Stegostoma tigrinum: one gene and its partner. The protein of the gene in region 1 interacts with the protein of each later gene in a pairwise test. Links are inferred from orthologs where the notes say so. Each region holds a gene or a part of one and is shown in the gene's direction. Other genes may lie near its edges.

Region 1 (7,980 bases):
AATGCACTTAATGTGCTGTGGAGACACCAGCAAGCTAAACATTAACCTTATATGAACATTTTAATCACCAAGCATCGAATTTGCTCAGTGTTTTAAAATTAATGTTCGACAGTACCTGTGCTTAATCAACAGTGCAATGTGACACTTTGATAAATGGTGCTTTCCATTGTATATTGGGGCCCTCCACATTATTTTCTTTTGCGGCAGCCTGAATTTGTTCAGCGTTGCATTGAATGTGATTTGGATAAAATATACAATTAATTATTATAACAGCAATACTGTAAATGTATCATGTGGCATAAGAATGTAAACAGGTTTAGTATTCACAGCAAAAACGAACTGCATAATTCACTATAGAAAGCAGCCAATATAAATTATATATAAGCATGTTAATCCCATGTAATCGGCTATAATGGAAAATGACCTGTCAATACAGTGCTGATTCATGCTGTACCATTGGGCTGCAGCTCATTCTCATGAATTAACATTCTGCATTACTTGCTTCGATTGCAGGTACTGTGGTAATGCTGCTAATTTGGTCAAACTGAAAAAGTACTTCAAATAAATAATACAATACAGTAAGGTAATCAATACTTGGTTGAGGGGTTTAGATGAAGTTGCCATGTGATTTGCTCTATGCTCATGTTTGCTATAATACTGTTGGTAGCACTATTGCTGCTGAGATACTGGATTCAAGCCCTACTCCAGTGCTTAAATATCAATGTTGACACTCCAGTGTAGTACTGAAGGACTGCTGCTCTATTGGAGATGCTATCTTTTGGAAGAAATGTCAAACCAAGGCCTCAATTTCATGTTTGGATGAACATAAAAGATCACTGCATTATTCTAAAGTATGGGGGATTTATCCTCAGTGTCATATTGATATGTATTTTTTAACCAACATCACAAAACACATTTTCTGTCCATTATCAAACTGTCAGGGGTGTGCAAATTGACTCATTTCTTGCATTGCAACTGCGTCCATTTGCACTTTGGAAGTGCTTCCTTAATGATAAATGTTTTGAGATGTTCAATGACTGTGAAAAGCATTTTTACTTATTTGTTTGTTTACTCAGTTGTGACAGAATAATCAACAGTAACAAATCCCAACCATGTCTGATGTGCAGTCACCTTCACACACAAAAACATTCTGGTGCCAGTTTTCTCCCACCCCTCTTACTTTTTCATGGAGACATTATCTGCTATGGGACTTATGAAGAGAGCCGTTCTTTTAATTAGACTTACAACATACAGTCCTTGTGCAGTGCTCAGCCTAAGAAGTACTCCATTTCCAGCCCTTTGGTGCACTATGGCTGAAAGGACCCAGGGAGCAACCTATCCCATTTGTGTCTCTGCTGCAGCTGCTCCAACTCTAGTGTGTCTCTCAACATGTAATTCTGGACCGTAGAATGTGCCAGTCTGCAATATTTAACTGAGGACAACTCCCTCAATGAAAGGCCAGCAAGCTTAGGGCAGACCAAAGAGCATCTTTTACTGAGTTGATAGTTCTTCAGGCACTGTTTATGATTGTCTTGGTTTACAGCCCTGAGAACAACCCATAGAACACAAAATTCCTGCATCAGAATGAAAGATGTTATATAGAGTGTTATATCTGTTTGCCTTTTGCAGTTTCAGATTTGAAATGCTTTTGCTGTTGGGTGTCTACCTCAAATGGGATGTGTCGTGTAAATATTCCGACCTTTACAATTGCTTCAAGTGGAATATGTTAAATGGAACAAGTTGAATTTTTTGTAAATATTGTGATATTGTAATTACGGTAATGTAGTTTTCATAAATGTTATTAATAATGTACATTGTTGGAATAAGCATCCTTTTAATTAGAAGAAAACATAAACAGCTCTAATACTGTGGTTTATTTGCTTCATATAAACTCCTAGTGAGTTTTGCCATATTTAATCATATGATGACCAACACATAAAGCCTTTCCCAAGTAGATTTTCGGAGTAGGTGATAATCTATCTCAAAATGCCCGATATCTTCAGCAATTTAGAAAACATCCAAATCGAAGCACTAGTGTAAATACATTCGATTTTATTTGATGGATGGGTTGTGACTCAGGATATTGGCCAACATTTACCCTTCAATCAAAATCACAAAACGCCTCATAGCTGTTCAGTATCATATTGCTGACTATGGGAGTTTTACTGTGCGCAAAACTGCCCAGTTTCCTGCATTACGCCAATACGCAATTACACGTTTAAAAGTATTTTATTAGCTGCAAAGCATTTTGCGCGGTCTAGTGGTCGTGGAAGGTGTCGTAACGATTCAAAACTGTAATCGTTCGGCTAAATTTGCTGAAACGCTGCCGCACAATCGAGTGGTATTTTAATCAATGACTGAATGATAAAACTTAGCCAATATGCTCTAAAGAATCCGAAAATATACGTAGCCCCCTTTAAATAAATGTTGCGTTTTACAATAACATTGAGCCGCAGTTTATGTTTGCTGCGATATTTTCACTCACTCTGCCTTTCCTATACGGGTATGGCAGCCATCACTCCAACTCACCCAAAGGCAACTGCTCCAACAGAAAGAGGTAACTGGAAAAGAAGTCACTCCTAATGGTTTTATGGAGAAAGAAAGACATGCTGTTGCGGCACATATCATCGTCAGTTCTGTCCCACCGCGACTTAAAAGCATAGTGGGCTTTTTTCCACTCCACCTTTTCTTCCATTGTATTTTAGAGTTTGGGATGTCGCTGGGTTTCCTCTATTTCTCCAGGTAATTTTCGGCGATTCGGATCCCACGGTGTAACTTCCCGGTATCTCTGTTCTTAACAACTTGGCGCTAGTCCTTGGACTGATCAGGCTCCGATCCCCCAAGCAGGTGCTGAAAACGCGCCTCCGTATGAACTCCAACCCTCCTACCCAACCAGCTCTGCCTACATTGATCTCATTTCAGCATATTCTGGAAATCCTAAATCCTGGTGTAAAACAAAGCTTTCGGACCACAAAACTTTGCTGAATGTGAATCTTACTAAATGGTCCATTGAGGTTTGTACAAAGTTCAAACACTTCCTGAGATTATGCAGGAAAATTGTGGTTCCGTGAGATGACAGGGAACCTAAGTGCCCAGTCAATGATTTGTGTTATGTATGCCAGTGACGCATCGTGAAAGGAGATGGATTTATCTGCGACTGAGATCCACTTCCCCTTCGTACAGTGAAGGAATTAGCAACTTCAAAAAAACATGAGCTGGGTCGCTCAGTAAGTTTGAGAGGAGAAATGCATTAGAAAAATTCACAAACATGGGAGATTGGGGAAATGTGGAGAGGCAAACTCGTAAAGCAAGACGCGTGGATTTTAATCATTTAAGACGACAACTCTACCATCATAACCTTCGGTTACATTTTCTCCAACCCAAATAACCTGTCTGAGAGATTATTCAAAACTTATTTTTATTCTTAGAGAAAACACATTTCTCATTTGTTTGATAAATGATGTGCTACAGCTACTGTTAAATGAATTGTGAAGATTACTACACATTATGAACAACTTGCATGTAAAAGAAAACTAGCATTGTTATTGTACCTTTCACGACCACGTGATATCCCAAAGCACTTTACAGTCAATGAAATATTTTATACAGTCACTACTGTCAAATAGAACATGTGGAAGTCATTTTGCACATTACCAGCCCCACAAACAGCAAATCGATGATGATCGAATAATTTTGGTGATATTGATTGAGAGATACATATTGCCCATTTTCTTGGTCTTTTTCTAAAAAAAAAGTGCCAGAGGATAGTTTACATCCACCTGAGAGGACAGACAGGATTTTGGTTTAATGTCTTACCTGAAAGCATCACAAAGGACAGAATGCACTGGAATGTCAGCTTGAATTTTTGTGATTAAGCCTTGGAATGGGACCTTAACCCACAACCTTTCTGTCTTTATTAAAATGTTTCAAGACTGTTCCTAAATGTGTATTTAAACATATTGTCACTCAGTCAAAGAAGGGGCAATTAAGAGTTATGGCTCAACGTTAATCAGAAACGATATGCTTTAAAAAAGGATAAGAGAATTGAGATAGATGGAAGAGTAGAGATTTAAGAGATTGAATCCCAGAGTTTAGGGGCTTCACTTTTCAAGTCATACGAACTAAAAGTAGGATATAAAAAGTGGAAATGAGCAAGAGACCAGAGTTGGAAGGAAGAAGAGTCCTGGGTAGCTCTCAGACTGGAGTATATTTGCAGAAGTGAAAATTGGAGGGACCCTATAGGGACTGCAGGTGAGGGACAATCAGGACTTCATGCAGTTTAGTAGGTCATCGGTGATAGATGAATACAAGACATGATATAGGCGACAAAATTTTGGATGAAAACGGAAATAACTGCGGATGCTGTAAATCAGGAACAAAAACAAAGTTGCTGGAAAATCTCAGACATAGTAGGAACTGGCCATGCTGGAGTCTGAGATAACAACGTGTGGAACTGGATGAACACAGCAGGCCTAGCCGAAACGTCAGCTTTTGTGCTCCTGAGATGCTGCTTGGCCTGCTGTGTTCATCCAGCCTCACATTTTATTATCTTAACGTTTCGGGTCCGTTGACCCTCAGAATCCGTTCACCGGACCCGAAACGTTAACGCTGTTTTTTCCTTCACAGATGCTGCCAGACCTGCCAAAATTTTGGATGAGTTGAAGTTTAAGGAGAACATACGAAGTTGTGATTTAAGGTGACAAAAGGTATGGATGAGGGCACGGAGAGTGATTTCAATCACGATATTTAATATTTCCTTTCATAGTTGGGCATTCTTTTCTCTGTTTGCACCTTTGCGAAGTTTCTGAACGTTTTGATTTGTTTTCTGTAAATGCAAGCTGTTTCTGCTGGTGACGACTCTTTCGATCGCAGTCCCGTTGACCTGGAGTTATTGTTGTTGGCCTAGTGGGGGTGCTGCAGGCGGAGTGTCCATCGTTGTCGGTTTAGTTCCGCCCTCCAGCGCAGGCTCCGCCCGCGCGTACCGCTGCGGATTGTGGGGCGGCTGCACTTGTCTCTGGTAACCCGGGGAGATGTGAGGGTGGCTTTGCTGTTGGGTAAAGTAAGCAAACAAAGAAACTGCTTTTGCAGACAGAATTGGAGCGGCCGATAAAGATGCAACCGGAAGATGCTCGCTACCTGAAGAGGTTGGTGCTGTAACAGGGGCAGGGTGTTGGTGGTTGCTTTTTTGGAAGGACCGGGTTGGGCCCAGGAACCTGCAGTCGCTGTTGTTGCATTTTGTGACTGCGGCACCTTAATCATTCTGCTGTTAACGTCTACTTCGCAGCTGCTCTCTCAGCTGTGGGTTTGACAGACATTTGTGCAGCGCGTATAATACTCTTCTCCCTTGTTGATGCTGACACTACCATAGCGTTCGTTTCAAGGTTGCTCTCAGATACATTCTATTAATGCATTCTGAATGAGTCAGCCTGGATCGTTAATATTACTATCCCCCCTTTTTTAATGGAGAGCATCATTCGCAGTTAAACTGAATCTTCGCTTACTGAGAAGGATTTCTTTTCCTACCACACCCTCGTTTGGAGAGGTCAGTTGCGTCCTATTATCACTGTCGTGATGATGATTGGGATACTCGCCAGATGAGCTCGTTGAGTGATGAGAACCAATGGTGGTTACCATCCGGGCTATTATCAGGTGGTAACTGGCGAATTTCAGGTCGTCTATAATTCTGTATTGACAGAAGTGACGTCTTGTGAATTTACAGTAAATTTGGCATTGTTTGTGATGGGGAGAGGAGGATAATGGGGAACCACGGATTGTGAACTCCAGGTTAGGAGTACTTTCTCTATAAAGTATTCAATTTGTGTCGAATAAAAGCAATCAACCTGTTATATGTATTTTAAAAAATTGTTTTACATTTATGTTCAAACAACAAATGGATAAATAACAGGTTAAGCACAGCTTATACAATTCAACTTGAGTAACAACAAATGATTGGTGCACTGTCAGTCAAAGCAGGACCAAATATTCTAATGCTTGTGACAAATACAATAGAAATAGGTGTAATCTACTTAGCCCTCAATCTTGTCCTATTATTCAGTAATAACATGGTTGTAATCTAATTCCATTTATTGACCTTTGCCCCTTATCCCTAATACCTTTGGCTAACAAGCAAATATCACACTTTTAAATTGACAGTTTATCTAACATTAATTGCCACGTGTGGAAGATGTTTCCAAACTTCTACCATACTTTGCAAAAGGACATATTTCCTAATGTCACTTCTGAAAAGTTTGAATTTTTTGACTATGCCATAAATTTTAGTTTTCCTAACTAATGGAAAATACTTCTCCAATCTAGCCTATCTGTTCACTTAATATCTTGATAATTGTAATCAAAGCACTTCCAAAATCCAAGAAACCTATTCTTAGTGTGTATAATACAAACAGAAATTCCTGGTGAAACTCAGCAAGTCTGGCACCAGCTGTGGAGAGAAAGCAGAGTTAATGTTTCAAGTCTAGTGGTCCTGGATCTTCAGCACCTGTAGTTTTTATTTTATTAGTTTATGTATTCTCTTTGTTCTCTCTTGGCATTGATACAATTCTGGGAGGTCTGTGATATGCCCCTCAAAGTCCAACACATTCATCCTGACTTCTGGTTTCCAGAACTGCTTAAAGTTGCCTAACCAGGTCTTTTTATAAGAGATAATGGGAACTGCAGGTACTGGAGAATCTGAGATAACAAAGTCTGGAGCTGGACGAACACAACAGGCCAAGCACCATCTTAGGAGCACAAAAGCGTGTGTAGATTAAATTTTGATAAAGTGTGAAGCTGGATGAACACAGCAGGCCAAGCAGCATCTCAGGAGCACAAAAGCTGACGTTTCGGGCCTAGACCCTTCATCTGATGAAGGGTCTAGGCCCGAAACGTCAGCTTTTGTGCTCCTGAGATGCTGCTTGGCCTGCTGTGTTCATCCAGCTTCACACTTTATTATCTTGGATTCTCCAGCATCTGCAGTTCCCATTATCACTATAGATTAAATTTTATCCCCTTGTGTTCATTACCCTTGATATAAATTTATGGCTCTATAAATTTACCCTCTTTATGAATGCCAACATTCCAGTAACTTTACTACCTACTTTTTGATACCTGTTTGTGACACTTCAGTAATGTGTATTTGGAATTCCTAGTCTTTATGACCATCTCAGTTTACAGCATTACACCATTTAGGGAGTATTCTGTTCTATTTCTAGTTAGAAAATGGATGAACTTGCATTTATCTGCATTGAAATCTCTTTCACCCTTTACTTAATTGTTGATAATGTCGTGGTTTTGTTTTCATGTCAACAATTACATTATCTAAATTATTGAAAGCAATGTATAATTGAGATCTCAACATACACCCTTTGGATCTTACGTGCCAATTTTTGATATTATCACCACTCTGCCACTTGTACAGCCAATTTATTAACCAGGTCAACAAATTACCTTACATTCCATGAGCTTCAATTTCAGTACAAAGACTCAACTGCTCTTTGGAAGTTCATATATTAGTGAGAATGAAGCATATTTGCAAACTAAAGTAGATTTAGTAGGGTATTTTAAGGAAATTAACAAGCACCATGCATATCCAGGATATGTGTTCACTGTAAGGCAGTTGACTTTTCTATAAAGTAACTGAATGCATTTATATTGAAATTGATAACTGAAATAATTTTTCAAATAACGAACAATGGAAAGATTATCTGGTGGTAGGAGACCTGGGGCCAAACAAAAAAAGCAAGAAAAAGTGGAAACATTTAGATTGTAGTCTTTTGCCCTGGATGCTACAGACTGGATTTTAACTGGACAGAATCACATTTACATTTTTGCCAGACTCATTCTGTTGCCCTTTCTAGACTGTTCTGATAGTCTGTGCATAGTTCCTCTCTGAAAACTGAAATGTTGGACATCTAAAAACAGCACTTTACACTTCAACGTTGTAAATTTCCAAATCGTGGTTTGCAAAATGATAATTGATAGCAA
Region 2 (8,012 bases), about 930 kb from region 1:
ATGCTATTCTCCTGCATTTGATCATCCAAAATGCGTCAGCATGCGTTTGTCCAGATTAAACTCCATCTGGCATTTCTCCGTCCAAGTCTCCAGTCTATCTATATCCTGCTGTATCATCAGGCAAACCCTCTTACCGTATGCAACTCACCACGTCTTTCAAATAACAAGTGTCCCAGCATGGAATCCCTGTGAAGCGCCACTGGTCACAGATCTCCAATCCAAAAAACACCCTTCCACCACCACTCTGTCTTCTATGACTATATCATCTTGCCATGAAGGACCTTGACAAAGGCCTTGCTAAAGTCCATGTAGATAACATCTACTGCCCTACCCTCATCAATCATCTTTGTCCCTCCCTCTAAAAACTCAATCAGGTTTGTCAGACACTGCCTTCCCCACACAAAGCCACACTATCGCTAGTAAGTTCATATCTCTCCAAATCTGAGTAAAACCTTTCCCTAAGAATTTTCCCCAATAACTTCCCTGCCGCTGACGTAAGGCTCACTGGCCTGTAATTACCTGGACTGTCCCTGTTGCCCTTCTTAAACAATGGAAAAATGCTGGTTACTCTCTAGTCCTCTGGGACCTCTCCTATGTCTAAGAAGGATAGAAAGCTTTTGTACAATGCCCCAGCAATTTCATCACCTGGTTCCCTCAGCATTCTGGGATTGATCCCTATCAGGTCCTGGGGACTTGTCTACCCTAATGCTTTTTAAAACACTGAAACCTCCTCCTTTTTTACAATTACATACCCCAGAATATCGACAAACCCTTCCCGAGACACACCAACCACCACACCTTTCTGAATATTTCTACCCTGGGAAAATAACTTTGATTATCCTGTCTATCCATGCCCTCATAATTTTGTAAACTTCTATCAGGTCACCCCCTCATCTTTTGACATTCAAGTGAAAGCAAACCAAGTTTGTCCAATATCTTATTGAGCCTAATACCATTCAGATCAGGCAACATCCTAGTAAATCATATCTGTACTCCCTCCAAAACCTCCTTGTCAAGGATCACAGCCACTTGCTTCAGCTTCCTGCAAAAACTCCTGCAGGACCTGAGCCTACAGAGCAGAAAGATCAGGACCAGTATCAACAGCATGGCAGAGAGGAGAGCTCATGATGACAATGTACAGTGTGAAGACAGGAGAGATCAGGACCATAGTCTACAGTGGGACAGACAGGAGAGATCAGCACCATAGTCTACAGTGTCACAGAGAGGAGAGATCAGCACCATAGTCTACAGTGGGACAGACAGGAGAGATCAGCACCATAGTCTACCATGTCACAGAGAGGAGAGATCAGCAGCATAGTCTACAGTGGGACAGACAGGAGAGATCAGCACCATAGTCTACCGTGTCACAGAGAGAGGAGATCAGCAGCATAGTCTTCAGTGGGACAGGCAGGAGAGATCAGCACCATAGTCTACCATGTCACAGAGAGGAGAGATCAGCACCATAGTCTACAGTGTCACAGACAGGAGAGATCAGCACCATAGTCTACCATGTCACAGAGAGGAGAGATCAGCACCATAGTCTACAGTGGGACAGAGAGGAGAGATCAGCACCATAGTCTACAGTGTCACAGAGAGAGGAGATCAGCACTATAGTCTACAGTGACACAGAGAGGAGAGATCAGCACCATAGTCTACAGTGTCACAGAGAGGAGAGATCAGCACTATAGTCTACAGTGGGACAGGCAGGAGAGATCAGCTCCTTAGTCTACAGTGTCACAGAGAGGAGAGATCAGCACCATAGTCTACAGTGGGACAGAGAGGAGAGATCAGCACCATAGTCTACCATGTCACAGAGAGGAGAGATCAGCAGCATAGTCTACAGTGGGACAGACAGGGGAGATCAGCACCATAGTCTACCATGTCACAGAGAGGAGAGATCAGCACCATAGTCTACAGTGTCACAGACAGGAGAGATCAGCACCATAGTCTACAGTGGGACAGACAGGAGAGATCAGCACCATAGTCTACCATGTCACAGAGAGGAGAGATCAGCAGCATAGTCTACAGTGGGACAGACAGGAGAGATCAGCACCATAGTCTACAGTGTCACAGACAGGAGAGACCAGCACCATAGTCTACAGTGGGACAGGCAGGAGAGATCAGCTCCTTAGTCTACAGTGTCACAGAGAGGAGAGATCAGCACCATAGTCTACAGTGGGACAGAGAGGAGAGATCAGCACCATAGTCTACAGTGTCACAGAGAGAGGAGATCAGCACCATAGTCTACAGTGTCACAGAGAGGAGAGATCAGCACTATAGTCTACAGTGGGACAGACAGGAGAGATCAGCACCATAGTCTACAGTGTCACAGACAGGAGAGATCAGCAGCATAGTCTACAGTGGGACAGACAGGAGAGATCAGCACCATAGTCTACAGTGGGACAGACAGGAGAGATCAGCAGCATAGTCTACAGTGGGACAGACAGGAGAGATCAGCACTATAGTCGACAGTGTCACAGAGAGGAGAGATCAGCACCATAGTCTACAGTGTCACAGAGAGAGGAGATCAGCACCATAGTCTACAGTGGGACAGGCAGGAGAGATCAGCACCATAGTCTACAGTGGGACAGACAGGAGAGATCAGCACCATAGTCTACAGTGGGACAGACAGGAGAGATCAGCACTATAGTCGACAGTGTCACAGAGAGGAGAGATCAGCACCACAGTCTACAGTGGGACAGGCAGGAGAGATCAGCTCCTTAGTCTACAGTGTCACAGAGAGGAGAGATCAGCACCATATTCTACAGTGGGACAGACAGGAGAGATCAGCACCATCGTCTACAGTGTCACAGAGAGGAGAGATCAGCACCATCGTCTACAGTGGGACAGGCAGGAGAGATCAGCTCCTTAGTCTACAGTGGGACAGACAGGAGAGATCAGCACCATCGTCTACAGTGTGAGAGACAGGACAGATCAACACCATAGTCTACAGTGGGACAGACAGGAGAGATCAGCACCTTAGTCTACAGTGTCACACAGAACAGAGATCAGCACCATAGTCTACAGTGGGACAGAGAGGAGACACCAGCACTATAGTCTACAGTGTCACAGAGAGGAGAGGTCAGCACCTCAGTCTACAGTGGGACAGACAGGAGAGATCAGCACCATAGTCTAGTGTCACAGAGAGGAGAGATCAGCACCATAGTCTACAGTGGGACAGACAGGAGAGATCAGCTCCTTAGTCTACAGTGTCACAGAGAGGAGAGATCAGCACCATAGTCTACAGTGGGACAGACAGGAGAGATCAGCACCATAGTCTACAGTGTCACAGACAGGAGAGATCAGCACCATAGTCTACAGTGTCACAGACAGGAGAGATCAGCACCATAGTCTACAGTGGGACAGGCAGGAGAGATCAGCTCCTTAGTCTACAGTGTCACAGAGAGGAGAGATCAGCACCATATTCTACAGTGGGACAGACAGGAGAGATCAGCACCATAGTCTACAGTGTCACAGAGAGGAGAGATCAGCACCATAGTCTACAGTGTCACGGATAGGTGAGATCAGCACCCTAGTCTACAGTGTCACAGATAGGAGAGATCAGGACCATAGTCTACAGTGTCACGGATAGGTGAGATCAGCACCATAGTCTACAGTGGGACAGACAGGAGAGATCAGCACCTTAGTCTACAGTGTCACAGAGAGCAGAGATCACCACCATAGTCTACAGTGTGAGAGACAGGAGAGATCAGCACCATAGTCTACAGTGTCACAGAGAGGAGAGATCAGCATCATAGTCTACAGTGTGAGAGACAGGAGAGATCGGCACCATAGCCTACAGTGTACAAACTTTGGAAAAAGGAATACAGGCATGGACAATTGTCTAAATGGTGAGAAAATTTGTAAAGCAGAAGTACAAAGTGATCTGGGAGTGTTGGTCCAGGATTCTCTAAAGGTTAACTTGCAGGTAGGGTCCGTGATTAAGAAAGCGAATGTAATGTTGTCGGTTATCTCAAGAGGGCTGGAATATAAAAGCAGTGACGTGTTTCTGAGACTTTATAAAGCTCTAGTTGGACCCTATTTAGAATGCTGTGTCCAATTTTGGCCCCCACACCTCAGGAAGGACAAACTGGAGCTGGAGCATGTCCAGTGGAGATTTACATGGATGATCCGTGGAATGGTTGGCCTAACATACGATGAACGGCTGAGGATCCCTGGGATTGTATTCATTAGAGTTTAGAAGGTTGAGGGGAGATCTAATAGAAACTTACAAGATAATGTATGGTTTAGAAGGGGTAGACGCTAAGACGTTGTTTCTATTAGGAGGGGAGACTAGGACCCACGGGCACAGCCTTAGAATTAGAGGCGGTAAATTTAAAACAGAAATGAGGAGACATTTCTTCAGCCAGAGTGTGGTGGGCCTGTGGAATTCATTGCCACGGAGTGCAGTGGAGGCCGGGACGTTGGATGCCTTCAAGGCAGAGATCGATAAACTCTTGATCTCACAAGGAATCAAGGGCTACGGGGAGAGTGCAGGGAAGTGGAGTTGAAACGCCCATCAGCCATGATTTAAATGGCGGAGTGGACTCGATGGGCCGAATGGCCTTAATTCCACTCCTACGTCTTATGGTCTTAAATCTACATCGGGGGGTGCAAAGGGAATCTATGACAATGCTACTCACCAAATCTTAGCGCTTTTTTGCTTTTCTTTGTGATTGGAAATGATGTCCCTTCAGTACTTTGTTAGCTGCGCATTTGGTCTGTCTGTAATGGCCTCCCTGTTTGTTGACGATGTTACTGTTGTCAGGGAAATATAGAGGCGGTGTCTGAAGCGTCAGTCTGACAGCTGCTGGAACACAAACTGCCCAGAGTTAAATTTTTTAGCCAGCCGTTTCCAGCATCGAAAATACTTGATTTAGAAGTTTGCAACAGGAAACTAAAATACAAAACATATAAAAATATTTGTGGAAGGTGCGGGAGGATTGGTAAATCAATTAATTTGCCTTTAGACTGTTATAATCTCTCTTATGTTCATGGTAAGGTTTGGATTTGTCAGACCGTTCACATCTCCACAGGACTTGCAGCCACTATATCAAAAGGCAATGTCAGTGAGTTAACTTCCTATGAAACTGGTCTAGTCACAGCTAAAGTTGGGCTCATGGTCACATTTCCTGTAGTATTTCTATAGCGTATTCAGTCAAGCGGAGGAAGCAGACGGTAAAAGAAGCAGTGCGTTGAAATTAGTTGCTGGTTTAGCCAGTGCATACAAACCACGCTATTTCACGCGCTGCAGCTTGTATACATTAAACGGCCGGGCTCAGTATGTCTCTAACAGACACCATCAAATTATGGGATGAAGGCATTACTGCAGCAGACCGCCAGGAGTGGCTAACCGCACTCAACCTGTTCACCACTATACTCGAGCCCAGCTCCAAAATCTGTTTCAACATCGGCTGCCTGCATCTCCTCCGCAGAGAATGGAGCCAGGCTGAGAAGGTAAGTTGCTGTCACAGTTCCACATTTTGAAGGTGTATTCGGAATTACTTGAAATGCTTCTGTTTTTATTCCAAGACATATCAAAATAACAAGAGGGTTACAATTCACTGATTAACATTGTAAACGCTGAGCAAAATATAACAAGTAGACATTTCATTTGAGAAGATTAAACCCACAAGAATAGTAGGAAACGTAGTTAGTTCGTGTTTTACAGGGAAGTGAAGCAGTTTGTTTATTGCTTTATGGAAACCAAAATGTACCGAAAAAGTGGAAATGAAACTGCTCATGACATATAAATCAATTTCACAATTTACTGGATATTAATCCAACAATTGTGTTACATTGGTGCAATTGTGAGTTCAGTTTTAATATAAATTAAAGAAAAGCAAAGATTTACAACAAACCCCATTGAAAATTACAAAGGGCAAAGGAATCAAAGGCATGTATCATTTTTCCTTCACGTGTCAGGCAGTGATCATCAACAAGAAAAATCTTCAGTACCTTCTCCTAATTCTCTACAATAATAACGCTGTGACTACAGAAAACTATTAGCTGCAATTCAACTCTTAACTTCACTCCAGCATTGTCACTGAATCAATCTCCTGCCATTTCCTACCAGGAGCATGATCAACCAAGCTATTTGTTCCTCATTTCCCTCAGAATCCTTTGATATATTTCATCAGGTCTCAGAATATTTAGATAACCAAACTTCTTTAATAGTTTCCTTTTATTTATGATGTTATTCAGCTCATGTTAACCCTATTCAGGATTTCTCTGCATTCCATGTTGTTAAACACTGAAATGAAACACTTGTTAACTATTCCTGCTAATTTCTACTTATCCTTCACTACCTCTGTATCCCGTCCCCTCAGAATCAACCTCACTTTTAAAAATTTACTCTTTATTACTGACACTCGCACACCACCTTACTGTTTGTCACGATGATATAAGAGTACGAAATATTAATCTGTAAATCTTATCAATGAATTTAAAAGCCATGGACTTTTGTCTTTGAGTGAACAGTTAATAATAAGTTTGGGATACCTTAAAATGGTTTTCAATGTCACCTGACCTGAAGGTAGCCAAGCTGCACTGGGATTTACAAAAGAATGTTTAAGAAACTTGGCTGACCATATTCCCGAAAATGTTATCTAAGGATAATTACCTGAACATCAAAATTCAGCATCTTCAATATGTAGCTCGCAATGAGATCTTCAAATGCCTTGGCAATGATTGAAATTGCAGAGATAATGGGGACTGCAGATGCTGGAGAATCCGAGATAACAAAAGCTGATGTTTCGGGCCTAGATCCTCTCTGATGAAGGGTCTAGGCCCGAAACGTCAGCTTTTGTGCTCCTGAGATGCTGCTTGGCCTGCTGTGTTCATTGAAATTGCAGATATTATTGGAACAACGAATTAAACCAAAACTTACTATGTAAAGAGGAGGATTGAACCACTGTTCCCCAAACCCCATCACCTGAACCTACAACAAGGGGAAACCGCAAACCTCTTTGAGAATTGATTAATCGTTATTGTGACCTAACAGCCAATGTTTACACATCGAAACATCACTTCTGTGTGGGGCCATGATGATTCGTTTGTGCTTGTTGCTAAAGAGGGCAGTAACATCCAGTCACATCAAAAGATGAAGAGCTTCCCTTTCACTGGACGTGGTGTGCCCAATTCTGTAAGATGATCAGATCTGATGAAAATACTGAATGTGCATACTTGCTGTACACAAATCCAGGACAACAGCAGAACCAGTTCAGTTGTAACCACCAGAACTTTAAAATCAACATCAGAAAATATAATCCTTCACCTGAGAACTGTAATCATTTCTCAATTCCAACCTCCCTCATCCTGTCCTTGTTCTGATTGCTCGCACATTTATGTATGTGTGTGTGTGTGTGTGAACGTGCATGCATGTGTGTGTGTGTGTGTGCATGTGTGTGTTTGTTTGTGTGTATGTTGGTGTGAGTTTGTGTGTTTCTGACATGGAATTCCAAGTTAGGTTATACCTTTTAAGTAATATTTATACTTCGTACTCAGTGAGTTTACAATAAAAAAGCCACTTCATTTTAACTAACTTAAAAGGATTTTCTGTCTTGTTTTTCATAGCTTTAATGCATAACCAAGCACATACTGAATTAGGGAAAAATACATTTGTTTAAAATTTAAAACATTGCTAAACCAAGAGCAAGAGGAAATGAGAAGAATTTGCCCACCCCTTTAGACTCGGTTGCAAGATGTTTAAAAATATTTTTTGAGATACACTCCTTACTTTCGTTTTATTCCACTCTCTCATGGGATGTGCGTGTTGCTGGCTGGCCAGTATTTATTGCCCTTCAGAAGGTGGTAGGGAGCTGCCTTCTTGAACCACTGCAGTCCATGTGCTGTAGCCTGACCCACAATGCCTTTTCAGAGGAAATTCCAGGATTTTGACCCAGGAACAGTGATGTAATTCCATGTCAGGATGACGAGTGGCTAGCAGGGGAATTTGCAGATGGTGGTGCTCTCGTGCATCTGTTGCCATTGTCATTCTAGATGGTACTGAT

What was found. The genes of interacting proteins can lie anywhere in the genome.
Region 2: the proteins of kifap3a (region 1) and ncf2 interact in binary tests that used the Homo sapiens proteins (3 or more experiments, as listed by UniProt). The two-hybrid records come from large-scale screens. The link is inferred for Stegostoma tigrinum from reciprocal best matches to the Homo sapiens genes KIFAP3 and NCF2.

Annotation. Positions count from the first base shown.
Region 1 is NC_081361.1:46,861,332-46,869,311, reverse strand, and holds the start of kifap3a (kinesin-associated protein 3a), read left to right. Parts: upstream 1-4,970; 5' UTR 4,971-5,112; coding exon 5,113-5,144; intron 5,145-7,980. Other genes in the region: ntmt2 (N-terminal Xaa-Pro-Lys N-methyltransferase 2), read right to left, coding at 2,530-2,695. UniProt on the Homo sapiens protein: Involved in tethering the chromosomes to the spindle pole and in chromosome movement. Binds to the tail domain of the KIF3A/KIF3B heterodimer to form a heterotrimeric KIF3 complex and may regulate the membrane binding of this complex.
Region 2 is NC_081361.1:45,931,387-45,939,398, reverse strand, and holds the start of ncf2 (neutrophil cytosol factor 2), read left to right. Parts: upstream 1-4,901; 5' UTR 4,902-5,283; coding exon 5,284-5,457; intron 5,458-8,012. UniProt on the Homo sapiens protein: Subunit of the phagocyte NADPH oxidase complex that mediates the transfer of electrons from cytosolic NADPH to O2 to produce the superoxide anion (O2(-)).